Styela clava: one gene and its partner. The protein of the gene in region 2 interacts with the protein of the main gene of each other region in a biochemical or structural test. Links are inferred from orthologs where the notes say so. Each region holds a gene or a part of one and is shown on either strand. Other genes may lie near its edges.

The links. The genes of interacting proteins can lie anywhere in the genome.
Region 1: the proteins of tudor domain-containing protein 3-like (region 2) and DNA topoisomerase 3-beta-1-like form a complex in vitro, tested with the Homo sapiens proteins (2 studies listed by BioGRID and IntAct, with this or other methods). The link is inferred for Styela clava from reciprocal best matches to the Homo sapiens genes TDRD3 and TOP3B.

The regions. Positions count from the first base shown.
Region 1 is NC_135257.1:17,699,160-17,706,374, forward strand, and holds the start of DNA topoisomerase 3-beta-1-like, read right to left. Parts: upstream 3,293-7,215; 5' UTR 3,267-3,292; coding exon 3,140-3,266; intron 1,810-3,139; coding exon 1,641-1,809; intron 581-1,640; coding exon 460-580; intron 1-459. Other genes in the region: synaptosomal-associated protein 25-like, read right to left, coding at 6,219-6,848. UniProt on the Homo sapiens protein: Releases the supercoiling and torsional tension of DNA introduced during the DNA replication and transcription by transiently cleaving and rejoining one strand of the DNA duplex.
Region 2 is NC_135255.1:10,328,713-10,336,254, forward strand, and holds the start of tudor domain-containing protein 3-like, read right to left. Parts: upstream 3,270-7,542; 5' UTR 3,261-3,269; coding exon 854-3,260; intron 101-853; coding exon 1-100. UniProt on the Homo sapiens protein: Scaffolding protein that specifically recognizes and binds dimethylarginine-containing proteins. Plays a role in the regulation of translation of target mRNAs by binding Arg/Gly-rich motifs (GAR) in dimethylarginine-containing proteins.

The DNA of each region.
Region 1 (7,215 bases), on a different chromosome or scaffold from region 2:
ATTGTTTTCTCAAGAGAATTTGCCTAAAATTAGCCCCAGTATAATTACTTTTTTCCCTATTTTTCTCTTTTCCATTAAAAAGATTCAACAAAAAATATATTCAAAGGTTTATTTCAAGGCATTATTTTTTGTATTTTCCCACCTAACTATAATTATTCAGCTTTACATTCTACCTATTCTAACATAAAGGGGTTCCATAAAGTCTATTAACCAAGTTTGATTTTGTTATGAAGTCAATTCTCAATATAACTTAACTAGGTTTGATGTTTTTAATCAGTAATTGTTCAAGTATTTTTACTCCATTAATACATCTGTGAGGGCCAAAACAATATGTGGAATGTGGTATCTATAAACTCCCTTTGCAATTTAAAAAAAATTAAGGCGGCATGGACACTATTTACATAAATCTTACCAAATAATATGAAGCATAAATGAATGAAAAAAATATATAAGCCTCACACTTTTATTCATGATTGGTTCCACAATGTCTAAAACTTCAAAGCAGATATTTTCTCCTTCCTTATCACAATCTAACCATAGCACAATCGCATCTACGCCTCGTGCTTCTTTTTCCAGAAACCTAAATTAGTTACGATATTTAAAATTAAAGATTTAATGGGACACTTTAGAAAGAATGAACTTGTGATTTTAGACATAAGATTTTTATTACCTATTAATAATTATAATATCTCTTAGATGATTCATATATACCAGGGGATAATTTTGAGGGTTGAGTCGAAGTTCCATTACATTGTTAAACGCCAGTTCAATGGCATGGAGGAAGGATTGGCAGTTCTCTGGCGTAACCACAACTGATAGCATAATTCCATGTGACAATTGTTTTTCTTAAGATGTTAATATGTTCCCCCCCTCCGATGCTGCATTTTTTCAAAGCAAAATAGACCTACTTTATATAATGCTCGACAGCAAAGATCACTGCAGAACAGAATTATATAATTCTAAATTATTCAAATAAGGACATACCATACTTACAAAATCCTATTTTAAAAGTACGATCAATAATTTAATCACTATCAGTAACAATAAGCATCACAAGTTATAAATAGATCGGAAGTGTGCAACATTTTTTGTCGGTGAGCCATAAGACCAAGACATCTAGTTTGGACACACAAATGAAAATAGTTTTTCCATGCACACAACAAATTGAAAAATTATCCCAATGCAAAATTTAACACGGTGACGAGAGTAAAAAAAATTATGTATTTTTACCCATTTCCAATAAGCATGAACTGTCGAATTGGGATTTTATGTTTTATGGAATGAAATTGGAGTGACAAGGGGCGCACTAAATGGCTTGGTGGGTCGGGTTGTGGATCGCGGCCCGCCTGTTGCACACCCTGTTATAGATCATACAGCTGGTTGGTCAGCCAAATAATGAGAATAACAGAGATTGGTTAAAAATTGAATAATATCATCATTCTTGTATGAAGCCTTGTCTAGAGCAAAATCTGTCGTGACTCGTCAAACATGAGACACTTCCATTATTAACCAGAATAGAATTCTCAAAGCAAACTATGGCGAGTCCGTTGCGATAAAATTTTCCCATTTATTATTTATAAACTATTTTAGTATATTAAAATTCCATTTTTGGCTAAAATGATTCATAAAATTATTCATACTTGATAATATTTAATTTGGGATTTGCTTCTTTTTTCATAGTTGGAGCAGAAAATAATTCCCCAGGATCAACTTTTTCCCAGTTATTATATTTTCCTTCAAAATCCAATGACATGACATGGCCACACACAGACGTGACTTTGAAGCTGACTCTTTCGCCATAAAATTTATCTGAAAAAATTTAATACAGTCAATGCCTTTACATTAATCCATAAACTACTTAGTTGAAATAACTGGCAGTTAGATATCCAAGATGATATAATAGTAGAATTGATTCAAATTTTATTATATTTGATATTTTAAATAACAGGTATGAGTTTTGTTCAGAGTAAAATTTTGATTATAAAAAATACTAAAACAGTTGTTTATTTCGAAATCAAGTATTTTTATTTAAATGATAATTCGACAAAGGGCCTTCCGGTAGGCACGTGTCTGTAAATAACCTTTATTAATGAACTATTCAAAGCTGAAAAGCTAAAAAGTTTTTCAACTATATGTGCAGTGAGAATTTTTTGCAAAAATGACCCAAAATAGGGCCTTCCGGAAGGCCCTTTTTTAGTCGAATTATCATTGAAACTCATTGAATATACATAGACTCATCCAGAAAATCGAATCTAATCTACAAAACGTCGATAAAAAAAAATTATTTTAGATTGTATTCAGAAGATAGAATTAAAAGATTTTAGCCATCACTCGTTGTGGGCATAGTAGATAATATGTATGAAACTCAACTAAGTCAATTAAAAAAAAACGGTAGGATTCATCAGACCAACTCAATTACTCATTGTGTCTAAAAGGCTAAAGGGCAAAGCATTGTTCAGAGCGATGAAGATATGGTTTATAAAAAGAAAACAATTGCCATAGTGTCAGTACATTCATTGGAAGAAAACTACATAAGTCTTATTTAAAGGATATATTATTTAATAAGAATACAAAATTAAATGCTACAGTACCTATTTTGACTCATTTACAGTTCATCAAGATTAAAACCATGTCACAATTTCAATTTGTTAGAAACTAGATGAGTAATAAAGCAAAATTACGTCATACCCTCATATTCACGTACAGGGCATCAATGTTTATTTCAAAATTCCAGTATTTTAAAATTCAAACTCATATAGGCCTATAAACTTCTAAAGAATATGGTCTCATTTGAAGTTGATTCAATATTCCCCATTTGAAATTAGTACTTTATAATGTTTTCAGAATTCTTTTTAAAAAATAGTAAAAGTCACCTAATTACTAACTGTGTCTAAAAGACTGTTGAGCAGAGAATTGGGCGGCGATGAGGATTATAAAAAAAAAAATTGACATCATGTTAAAAAAGGTATAAGGAAAATATATGAACCCAATTTAGAGAAGACATTATTTAACAAGAAAATAAAAATAAGTACTATAGTAATTATGTCGACTCGTTACCAGTTCATACAAGATTAAAACCATGTCATAATTTCAATTTGTTAGAAACTAAATGAGTAATAGATCAAAAAATATGTCATACCATCATATTCATGCACAGGGCAAGATCCACTGATGCTTTTCCTCGTATTACATGAACCATGAGATAAAATCTTCGCTATGGATTGAGCCAGAGACGGCTTTTCCGCAACCATTAACACTGTCCTCATACTTAATTCATGGGAAACTATGGATTAGAGATATGTAATCCTGGAGGTGGAAGTGACAAACTGTCTATACTTTTCTAGTCTTAAATATAAATTTATTCATTAGTACAGTAAATATTTCAAATGAATATAATACATACATATCAGATGAAAACGATTAAAACCATAGCAGTAAATTGAACAAAAGAATGAAAATAACGCAGTCGCTATATGGGGAAAACAATCTTAATAATAATAATAACATTGAAAACATAAACTTTGGTGTTTAAAAACAACAGATGGGGCGTGACATTGCAGAAGCAGACGAGTAACATATTATACTACAAGAAACAAACATTGGGCGGGCGTAAAGATCGAATAATAAATATTTATGAGTAGACAGCTGTTACAAGTCCCTATAGAAGTATGAACTTCAAGAGTATTGTAGTTATTAATGCTTTAACAAACAGATAACAAGACAAGACTGTGCTTGCAAAGGGTGTAACTTTATAGTATTAAATCAATACAATTGAGAAATCTTCACTGTAAAGTTTGGCAGATTTCAATAATCGACAAGATGGCCAAGTAGATATTTCATCGATTAATTCTCACTGCGGTATATTATCAGGTTTACTATATTTAGGATTCATTGTCATGACAATTGCTGAAATAATCATTTTATTACATAGGTAGAATATTACAAAATAAAATCATTGGATAAATTGAAAATAAAAAAAGACCTAAAAAAAAGTGTTCCAAAATTTGCTGTTTTGGTATAAAACATATTAACCAATTTTCTTTTTATTCAAAACATGCCACACATTCTTGGGAAAAAGAATTCTTGTTTAAGGTGTTTATATCAAGGAACGTGGACATAATGACATACCAGAAAAAAATTCAGGATTATTATAAAGTTTTCAACAATTCACATTCAATATCCATCTCAGAAAATATATAAGTTAAACAACACATTAGATACTTAGATCAAAAAATAATCGATACATACTGTACATATCATAAAAGAACACAAATATTAATAATAGGTCTTACGAAGTAAACAGCCTACACAAAATGATAAGAAATCGATGAACCTAATTGAATGGTGGTGTTGGATGAAGAGAGTGTCCTTGAGTTTACTAGAAACATAACTTGGTGTAATAAATAATTACGGAGAGCTTATAACCTTAGAGCGGTATGAAAACATTTATTGAACATTGGGTGGCCACCAATGTGAAGATAATTCTACTCTTAGCAATAAGACAAATTTGTAAAATAAGATAAATGATGATAGTGTCCTAAAATTTTCTCTATCCCAGCCAAATCATGGTATATCTAGATTTTATTTAATTTAATCTTTTCATGAATTCGCTGCATGGCATGTCACTAAAAAGCTTTCACTAAATTATCGAAAATTGTTAACCACTACCTCATAAATTTAAAAAATTCTATATAGTTTATACTCTTAATATAATTCACAAATTTACAAGTTTAAGATAGTCATTTCCAATGTTTTAAAAATCCAAAATGTACCAAAGATCTCCGTGCTTATTCAACTATGATTTTAATTCAAATCATTACAACTAATTTTATTCCAAATATCGGCATGAAAAAGTTGAGTAATCAAAATGTCGAAAATGAACAACCAATCACCAGTGTAAACGTGAAAGTCACCTTATTCTCAAAATGAAAGATGGTCTGAAGATGAAAAATGTCACAGAATGTCATTATCATTCCAATAGTTGCAGACTTACTTAACATAGCAACAAAAGTTTCAACATGAAAAATCAATTTTCAATCTTTGATAAAAATACTTTGACTGTTTTGACGATGAACCCGAATCGATTGGAAAAGTCAAAAAATGTCATTTCGTAAATAAATCATTTTACAAACAAATGAATAGTCTGTAGAGTGTCGAGTATAATGCATTGACCTTAATAAAATATTCATGAAGGAATTCCAATCAGAATCAAACATATGAATTAAAATATTATAATGCAACATTTGATTGAACTGGATATCAAGATGCAGTTGGGTTGTCAAGGCTTCGAAGAAAAATTCAATCAAACTCATATTGTATATAACAAATTAACGTTGGGAATTTTCATATTCAAAAATACTATAATTTTGAATATTAATGACGCCAATTAATGATATCTGACTTATAATATCAAAATATGTTTTATTGATTGGCAATATAGAAAACTATTTGAGATTATTTCTTGTCTTTTATCGTGAGAATTTTGTCTCTATGGAATAATAAGGGTTGGATTCATACTCAAGCATAATGTTGCGCTCTACTAATTTTAGATTTCAAACTACCACCCATAACATTTGTCATTCTCAAGAACATATAAGAAGAGGCTGAACCCATAAATGTACTATAGGTTATGATTTGGGATATTAGAAAATTTTCATCAACAACAATAACCAAACCAGGTCATCGTCAATGTAAGCATGCAATATTGCACAACCCCATAATACTCACATTAATGCACTGTTAAACGTGCATAATGGAAATCGTTTTTCAATATTACTGATTTCATGAAAAAAATCGCTACAGAACAACTATAATTAAAAAGAAATGAATAAAGATTATCAATTACTGTTCAAAGAGGTGTAACATTTTCTTAACTTTAGTCAGAATTTTACATTTGACAGACAAAAGCTAAAATAAATAAGCAGAATTTTGCTATGAATTACCGAACAGATAAAAAAATTTCAATCATCTTTGTTTAAAATCTTCCAAGTCAAACGTAGAATCTTTGCCTAATAATATCAGTTTGAAAAATATCAGAAACACTCAAGTGCTGCTTCAGAAATACAATGCTGATTAGTTTTATAATTATTCACAAGTAGATTTAGCAAGCTCCTCCATTTATATTTATTCTTCTGAGGAGCTGACTGGGGAGTCCCGGATCATATGATACTATTTAAACAATCTGAATTGACCTATCAATAATAATGAAGAATATATACTCAGTTGTTGAGTATTTTTGCAGCCCGTTGGTTAGCGGAATCAATTCTGCCCTTGTTTGCATCAGCTTTTGCGTTGATTCTATCAATTTGGTTGTTTTGTGATGAGATTTCATTGCCCATATCTAAAGCCATGTGCTTCAGATTACCGATAACTCCAGCAACTTGTGTCAAATTCTCTTCCATCTCATCTTCTCGTGCATCGTTTGTTACCCTCTTGACGTATCCACCACCAACTTGTGCCATCGTTCTCTCATCCTGAATCCTGGCCCCGGGTTGGTCGCTGACAACTTTATCTTGATTTTTACTGAATGCTTTTTTATATTCGTCACCTTTTTCAAAATTTTTAGCTCTATTCCATGGGCAAACACATAATCCACAACACTTTTCCAATCCTTCTAAATTTTTTTCCGCTTGTTTCATGTCTTGATTAATTTGATCCATTCCTTCATCGATCCTATCGAGTTGTTCTCCTTGTTCATCAAGCATAACTAAGGTTCTGATTCCAGCATCTTGTGTTTCTTCCATCAGACCAACCATACGACGAGTACTTTCCAGAGACTCATCAGTAATTTGGTTCGCCCTCATCTGCATGTTGGCGAGCTCGCCTCTCATGTCATCATCTGCGGCCATAGTTTATTTTGTTGATGACTACACAATTAAATATGTAAATTAGAATACAATCTGCTATTTGGTATGAAAGTTGAAGTTTTAAAAATACATTGAGAAATATTTTATAGGATAACAATGCAACAATGACACTCCATATATCCTAAATTAGATACACATGTTGTCTCACTCATCCCATATACAACTGTCGCGCTCTGATTGTGCATGAATTGCGCAAAATCAAATAACAAACGATTGAAACACCTGAATATATTCTGCTATTAGTGTATACCTGCTGATACAGAACCAGGAGAGAAAAAAAATAATTCTAAGTAGAAATGTTTGAAACGTATAGAATTTAAAAATAAATGGGGTGGCTAAAAGAAGTAAG
Region 2 (7,542 bases):
AGTGGAGGTTTACCAGGTCGAGAATTCTGCCTTGGTCTCTGTGGGTTCCCCATATAAGGTAAATTCTGCCCATTGTCTCTGTTGTGTGAGAATTGAGTTGCTGAAAAGGGGAAATTGATAATGTTAAAAATGAGCCACTAAAAAGGGCAAATTGATAATGAAAGGATTGCTAAGGTTTCTCGCTCAAACTAGTGGCCGTTAGGAAATATTCTGCACTCGCAATAGAAGACTTGATAATACACAAAAAATGTAAACCATTTTAATGCGATTGCTGCCTATTAGAAAAATTTTATATAGAAGAACGAGCTGGAACCTCTTTTGTTTTAAACTCAAACATTGAGAGTTCCGAAGCTAGTAATCCTATCTCAATAGCCGTTTGGCTGAAAATTTTGTTATTTTTTTCTCCATAATAGCAATCTATCTAGCCATCATGCTATACACAAACTGTTGTCATTCTAATAAAATATTTATATTTAAGAAAAATCACTCGTACAGTCAAACTAAATATTTTAGTTTAATAACTTTAACATCAATTTCATATACTTGTGTATGCCAAAATTGCAGTAAAAATGATAATGGCACCTGGCGTATAGGTAGCTTACCCCCTTAGTATGTGTACCAGGATAGGGTTAAGCCATAATTTTATTCCGACTTTCCTTATTTTGGTTCTATTAGGAGTTCAGGACTGTCTGTGTTAGCCAAGTGAATATACACCCTCCTGACCATAGGTTTCAATCCCTTTACACTACTTGATGTAAAGTAGGCAAGCAAAATAGTTACGTACATATACATTTCTGAAGCGCCTGTGTATATTATGAATATTAAATAAACAAAGGAATAAATTTTCACTCACCTCCATGAAATGATGTTTTATCATCATCGAAAGGCTTCATATCGAATAATTGTACTTCTTCATAATTTCCAAAACCTAGGAATTGAACAACAGCGGTTGGAGCAGTTGGATGTAAATCAGTGATGATTGCTCTATAATAGCACCGATCTTCCCAATACCTTGCTAAACAGTGGCTTCCAACATAGAACTTGGGAAGAGAAACATGAACCTGGGGGCCATTTGAATGAGACTTCACAATAACGTCATGTGAGGGAGTCGATTGATTAATGTTGATATGAATTGAAGTATCAGTATTAGGCGCTGCCGTACCGAAAGTGGTTGGGCCCCTTTGAGATGGTGGAGGATTTATTGATAAATCTCTAAAGTTTTGGTTTATGTTAAATTCGCTGGCTTCTCCAGAAAGTTTGGAATTGCTCTCCCCTTTCATTGTATTTTGTGGAAAGTGGGGTATAGCTGTATGCTTGATATTCTCATTTTTAACAAAACTGTTGCCTTTTTTAAAACGAGGCGGAATGTCTGATGCATGCCTTTCGTTAACTCTGTGTTGATTCTGATGTCCTGAGGTACGATTTTTATCAGATTCTCGAGATTGTGTATTTCCTTCATTTCTAGTATCTTGAGATCGTCTGGGATTTTCAGAAGCACGTGTAGAGCTGTATCGTTTTCCACTCTCCATTCGTTCATTTCGACTATCTTTTTCAGTCATTTGTGAATCAATTTTCGGGGTAATATCGCTCTCTCGTCCAATCTTTCCACTTCTTCCCTTTCCATATGGTTCATCAGTTTTCGAATCATTCAATCTTTTATCATAAGTTTTAAATTTTTGAGGATTATCTGATTGACTCTCCCATTTATTATACCCTCTGCTTTTATATGAATCATTTTCTCTTCTATCTTCCCTCCTCTCCATTCGACCACCGCCTCTGCCACGCCCCCGCTCATTGAACCTTCGGTTTCCGCCACGTGATCTTGAATTATAGCCTCTGTTTGACTCTTGGTACCAATTTTTGTTATCATTACGTTGGTTTGAGGCTTCATTTTGATAGGATTTTTTGTAATAATCGTTTCCATTTTGTTTCTTACTCGGTTCTGGAACAGATATTTTAGATTCTACAAAATCAAACAATGTTGCTGAATTGGAGGGTTGTGACATTGGATGCTCATTTTCCTCTTCTCCATGAAATGAGCGGCCACTTCCTCTTCCACGGTTACCCCTACGAAATCCTCTGTTATCACCCCGTCCTCTATGTCCTCTTTGTCGTTCTTTCTGAGAATCTTCTGCATTAGCATTTACGACTAACATCTCCATAGTGCTTTCAAAGTCGTTATCGCATTTTTGCATGAAGAAAACGACATCATCTCTCTTGAATCCCATTTCTACAAATTCGTTCACTGTTTTCAAGTGTACGTTTTCACCACTCTGAGTTGACAACTCTCGATAAATTCTAGCGCTTTTATTTTGTGAATTGGTTTTCTCTTCATTTGATGAAGGTTGCTTGCTAAACTTCGGTCTGCTATCTTTATGAACTGGATCAGATGAGGATTTGTTATCTTCATAACTCGGGGCCGATGTCGGCCTTTTGCCGAAGTTTGCTCTTACATCAGATGAAAAAGTTTTCGAAACCTGAACAGATGCTTTGGCTACTTCTGCAATGGCAGCTTTACGTTGTTCATTGAATTCATCATCTTCAGCTTCGTCATGCTTTGCATCTCCTTTTAAAGATTTATTACTTTTGTTATATTTCTGAATATTTTTTCCAAACGCTACAAAAGGAGGTGGTGCCCCCTCTGCAACAATTCCCGCCCTACTGAGCCCTGCAGCATCGAGGGCTATTTTCCATCTTGTATAGAGCTTTTCAACTCTGCCACCTAAAATTTTTACACTGCCAGGCTCTAATTGTAATTGGCCATGAGTAACGGCGATACTTCCAATGAGTCTGATTTTGGTTCCTGGTGCAGTCTTGAGAGAAATTTGTTCAATATGTTCATATTCTATACCTGTGATTGTGGAGACTCCGTCGGTTAAAGTTACCCTCAGCATACGAGGAGCAATATTAGAATATTCATTTTCTTTAGGAGCAGTGATATTTCTGATTTTGCTAACCTGCAATACTACTGGTCCAACTAATAAATTGTCTGTACAAGAAGAAATCTTTTCTTGTATATATTTGTATCCGATATTAGATAGATCAGTATCGAGTGCCAATTTTTTTATTTTCCCGTATGTCAGTTCTTCTTTATCTGATAAATTTTTCTGAAGGTCATTCAAGGCAGATTCCTTCAAATGCCAACCTTCGTCTTCAAGAATCTTTCCAATACTTTCCATTGAAAAAGATGAGACACAATCTTCAAGTTGACTAAAGCTAAAAAGTCTGAAAAAGGAATGTATCATTGAGTTTTTTGACATACAGGTATCTGGACATATACACCACCACCGCAATCTGGCAATGAGTATTAGAGTACATCACATTTATACCATGTTGACGTTTTTAAAATTTTACTATACTTCCATAATCTAATCATTTAATATAAAATTGCAAAAGGTTTTCCTGAAGTTGTATTGATCAGTTTACTTGTTTATACAATACTGTAAACCAGTGATTCCCAAACTTTTTTATTTGTTGTCGTTTTGTTTTTGACTGCGTAAAGCGATTAAAATTATGTATGAAATACAACACGTCCGTCCCATATTTTTTCTTTTTGTTTGGAGATTATTAGATTAAATACAGAAATATGATCACATTGCAATACTAAAATTGTTCACTTCCATATGAATGCGAGAGGGATAAAAACGTATACTGGTATATGTCATAATGTGTATATTTTAGAAACTCGCGAGAATTACCACAGCTTATATATTTTGCAACGAATGGAAATCTGAAAGTGTAATAACACCGCCAAGACATCGCAGGGCAATCAATATCATACATGTCTGCATGTCAAAATCTCAATCACCCGCCAACCTTCAGACCTTATTTTGTATATTCGGTCACTAAAGGTGACTGGTGGCTGAATAACAATAAGCATATCCATGTAAGATATTCATCCCAGACCAGCAGAAATCTAGTATGGCAGTACTGCAGTATGTGGACCAGCCGTTGGTACCACTGGTTCGTTCAACTTGAAAGGTGGTCAATTACTTATTTGGCTGTACTGCTGTAACATGTCAAAAAAGCTATAAACAGCCTAAACAGGGAAGTCTTATTGCAGTATTGACGATCATAACAGTCCGACAGTACGGTATGTCACGTGCCCTAATTCCCTAAACGTTGCTGATAGGTCAGTAGGGTTTTTCCAATTAATTCATAATTAATCCCAATCTTAACGGTTCACTTTATGGCACAGCAATTATGACCACTGTGAAGCTAGTAGCAATTTGACCTTTGTGTGCGGCGAAGCGGAAAGGTTAATATTTACGGCAGAAATAGAGGCGTGTCAGAATCTACACCCGAAAAAATGAAGATAAACAAAATTAGCATACTATTATGGGAAATATGTTTATAATTTAGAAAAAATAACAAGTATATAACCAAAAAATAAATAATAAAAGTTTTTCACTCAACTAGAACCTAAGCCTTTTTCATTTTAAATTCAAGGGTATTCTCATAGCGAATATGGCCTTGTTTATAAAAAATTACGTATATCGACAAAAGATAATTTAGTCAATTTTCAAAGCCCAGCTGCACACCCTTCCCCACAAGAGGCATTCGATTTGATTATTTCCAATTAAAGAAGATTACCAGAAGTTTTTTACACAACTAGAACCTAAGCCTTTTTTATTTTAGAATCTGGGGTATTCTCATAGCGAAAATGGCCTTATTTGGAAAAATTAGGTATAGCGAAAAAAGCTAATGTAGTCCATTTTCAAAGCCTAGCAGCACACTCTTCCGCACAAGAGGCATTCGATTTGATTATTTCACGTTAAAGAGGTTTATCTGAAGTTTTTCACACAACTAGAACCTAAGCCTTTTTTATTTTAGAATCTACGTTATTCTTATGGCGAAAATGGCCTTATTTTGAAAAATTACGTATAGCGAAAAAAGCTAATTTAGTCAATTTTCAAAGCCTAGCAGCACACCCTTCCGCACAAGAGGCATTCGATTTGATTATTTCATGTTAAAGAGGTTTACCTGAAGTTTGCCACACAACTAGAACCTAAGCCTTTTTTATTTTAGAATCTGGGGTATTCTCATAGCGAAAATGGCCTTATTTGGAAAAATTACATATAGCGAAATGAGCTTATTTAGTCAATTTTCAAAGCCTAGCAGCACACCCTTCCGCACAAGAGGCATTCGATTTGATTCTTTTATGTTAAAGAGGTTTATCTGAAGTTTTTTCTACAACTAGAACCTAAGCCTTTTTTAATTTATAATCTACGTTATTCTTATGGCGAAAATGGCCTTAATTGGAAAAATTACGTATAGCGAAAAAAGCTAATTTAGTCAATTTTCAAAGCCTAGCAGCACACCCTTCCGTACAAGAGGCATTCGATTTGATTATTTTATGTTAAAGAAGTTTACCTGAAGTTTGCCACACAACTAGAACCTAAGCCTTTTTTATTTTAGAATCTGGGGTATTCTCATAGCGAAAATGACCTTATTTGGAAAATTACGTATAGCGAAAAAAGCTAATTTAGTCAATTTTCAAAGCCTAGAAGCACACCCTTCCGCACAAGAGGCATTCGATTTGATTCTTTTATGTTGAAGAAGTTTACCTGAAGTTTTCCACACAACTAGAACCTAAGCCTTTTTTATTTTAGAATCTGGGGTATTCTCATAGCGAAAATGGCCTTTTTTGGAAAAATTACGTAGAGCGAAAAAAGCTAATTTAGTCAAATTTCAAAGCCTAGCAGCACACCCTTCAGCACAAGAGGCATTTGATTTGATTATTTTATGTTAAAGAGGTTTACCTGAAATTTTTTGCACAACTAGAACCTAAGCCTTTTTTAGTTTGAAATCTACGTTTTTCTCATGGCGAAAATGGCCTTAATTGGAAAAATTAGGTATAGCGTAAAAAGCTAATTTAGTCAATTTTCAAAGCCTAGCAGCACACCTTTCCGCACAAGAGGCATTTGATTTGATTATTTCATGTTAAAGAGGTTTACTTGAAGTTTTTTACACAACTAGAACCTAAGCCTTTTTTATTTTTGAATCTACGTTATTCTCATGGCGAAAATGGCCTTAATTGGAAAAATTACTTATAGCGAAAAAAGCTTATTTAGTCAATTTTAAAAGCCTAGCAGCACACCCTTCCGCACGAGAGGCATTCGATTTGATTATTTCCCATTAAAGAGGTTCACCTGAAGTTTTCCACACAACTAGAACCTAAGCCTTTTTTATTTTAGAATCTACGTTTTTCTCATGGCGAAAATGGCCCTAATTAGAAAAATTACGCATAGCGAAAAAAGCTAATTTAGTCAATTTTGAAAGCCTAGCAGCACACCCTTCCGCACAAGAGGCATTCGATTTGATTATTTCATGTTAAAGAGGTTTACCTGAAGTTTGCCACACAACTAGAACCTAAGCCTTTTTTATTTTAGAATCTGGGGTATTCTCATAGCGAAAATGGCCTTATTTGGAAAAATTACATATAGCGAAATAAGCTTATTTAGTCATTTTTAAAAGCCTAGCAGCACACCCTTCCGCACGAGAGGCATTCGTTTGATTATTTCCCATTAAAGAGGTTCACCTGAAGTTTTCCACACAACTAGAACCTAAGCCTTTTTTATTTTAGAATCTACGTTTTTCTCATGGCGAAAATGGCCTTATTTGGAAAAATTACATATAGCGAAATAAGCTAATTTAGTCAATTTTCAAAGCCCAGCTGCACACCCTTCCCCACAAGAGGCATTCGATTTTTTGATTATTTCCCATTAAAGAAGATTACCAGAAGTTTTTTACACAACTAGAACCTAAGCCTTTTTTATTTTAGAATCTGGGGTATTCTCATAGCGAAAATGGCCTTATTTGGAAAAATTAGGTATAGCGAAAAAAGCTAATGTAGTCCATTTTCAAAGCCTAGCAGCACACTCTTCCGCACAAGAGGCATTCGATTTGATTATTTCATGTTAAAGAGGTTTATCTGAAGTTTTTCACACAACTAGAACCTAAGCCTTTTTTATTTTAGAATCTACGTTATTCTTATGGCGAAAATGGCCTTATTTTGAAAAATTACGTATAGCGAAAAAAGCTAATTTAGTCAATTTTCAAAGCCTAGCAGCACACCCTTCCGCACAAGAGGCATTCGATTTGATTATTTCATGTTAAAGAGGTTTACCTGAAGTTTGCCACACAACTAGAACCTAAGCCTTTTTTATTTTAGAATCTGGGGTATTCTCATAGCGAAAATGGCCTTATTTGGAAAAATTACATATAGCGAAATGAGCTTATTTAGTCAATTTTCAAAGCCTAGCAGCACACCCTTCCGCACAAGAGGCATTCGATTTGATTCTTTTATGTTAAAGAGGTTTACCTGAAGTTTTTTCTACAACTAGAACCTAAGCCTTTTTTAATTTATAATCTACGTTATTCTTATGGCGAAAATGGCCTTAATTGGAAAAATTACGTATAGCGAAAAAAGCTAATTTAGTCAATTTTCAAAGCCTAGCAGCACACCCTTCCGTACAAGAGGCATTCGATTTGATTATTTTATGTTAAAGAAGTTTACCTGAAGTTTGCCACACAACTAGA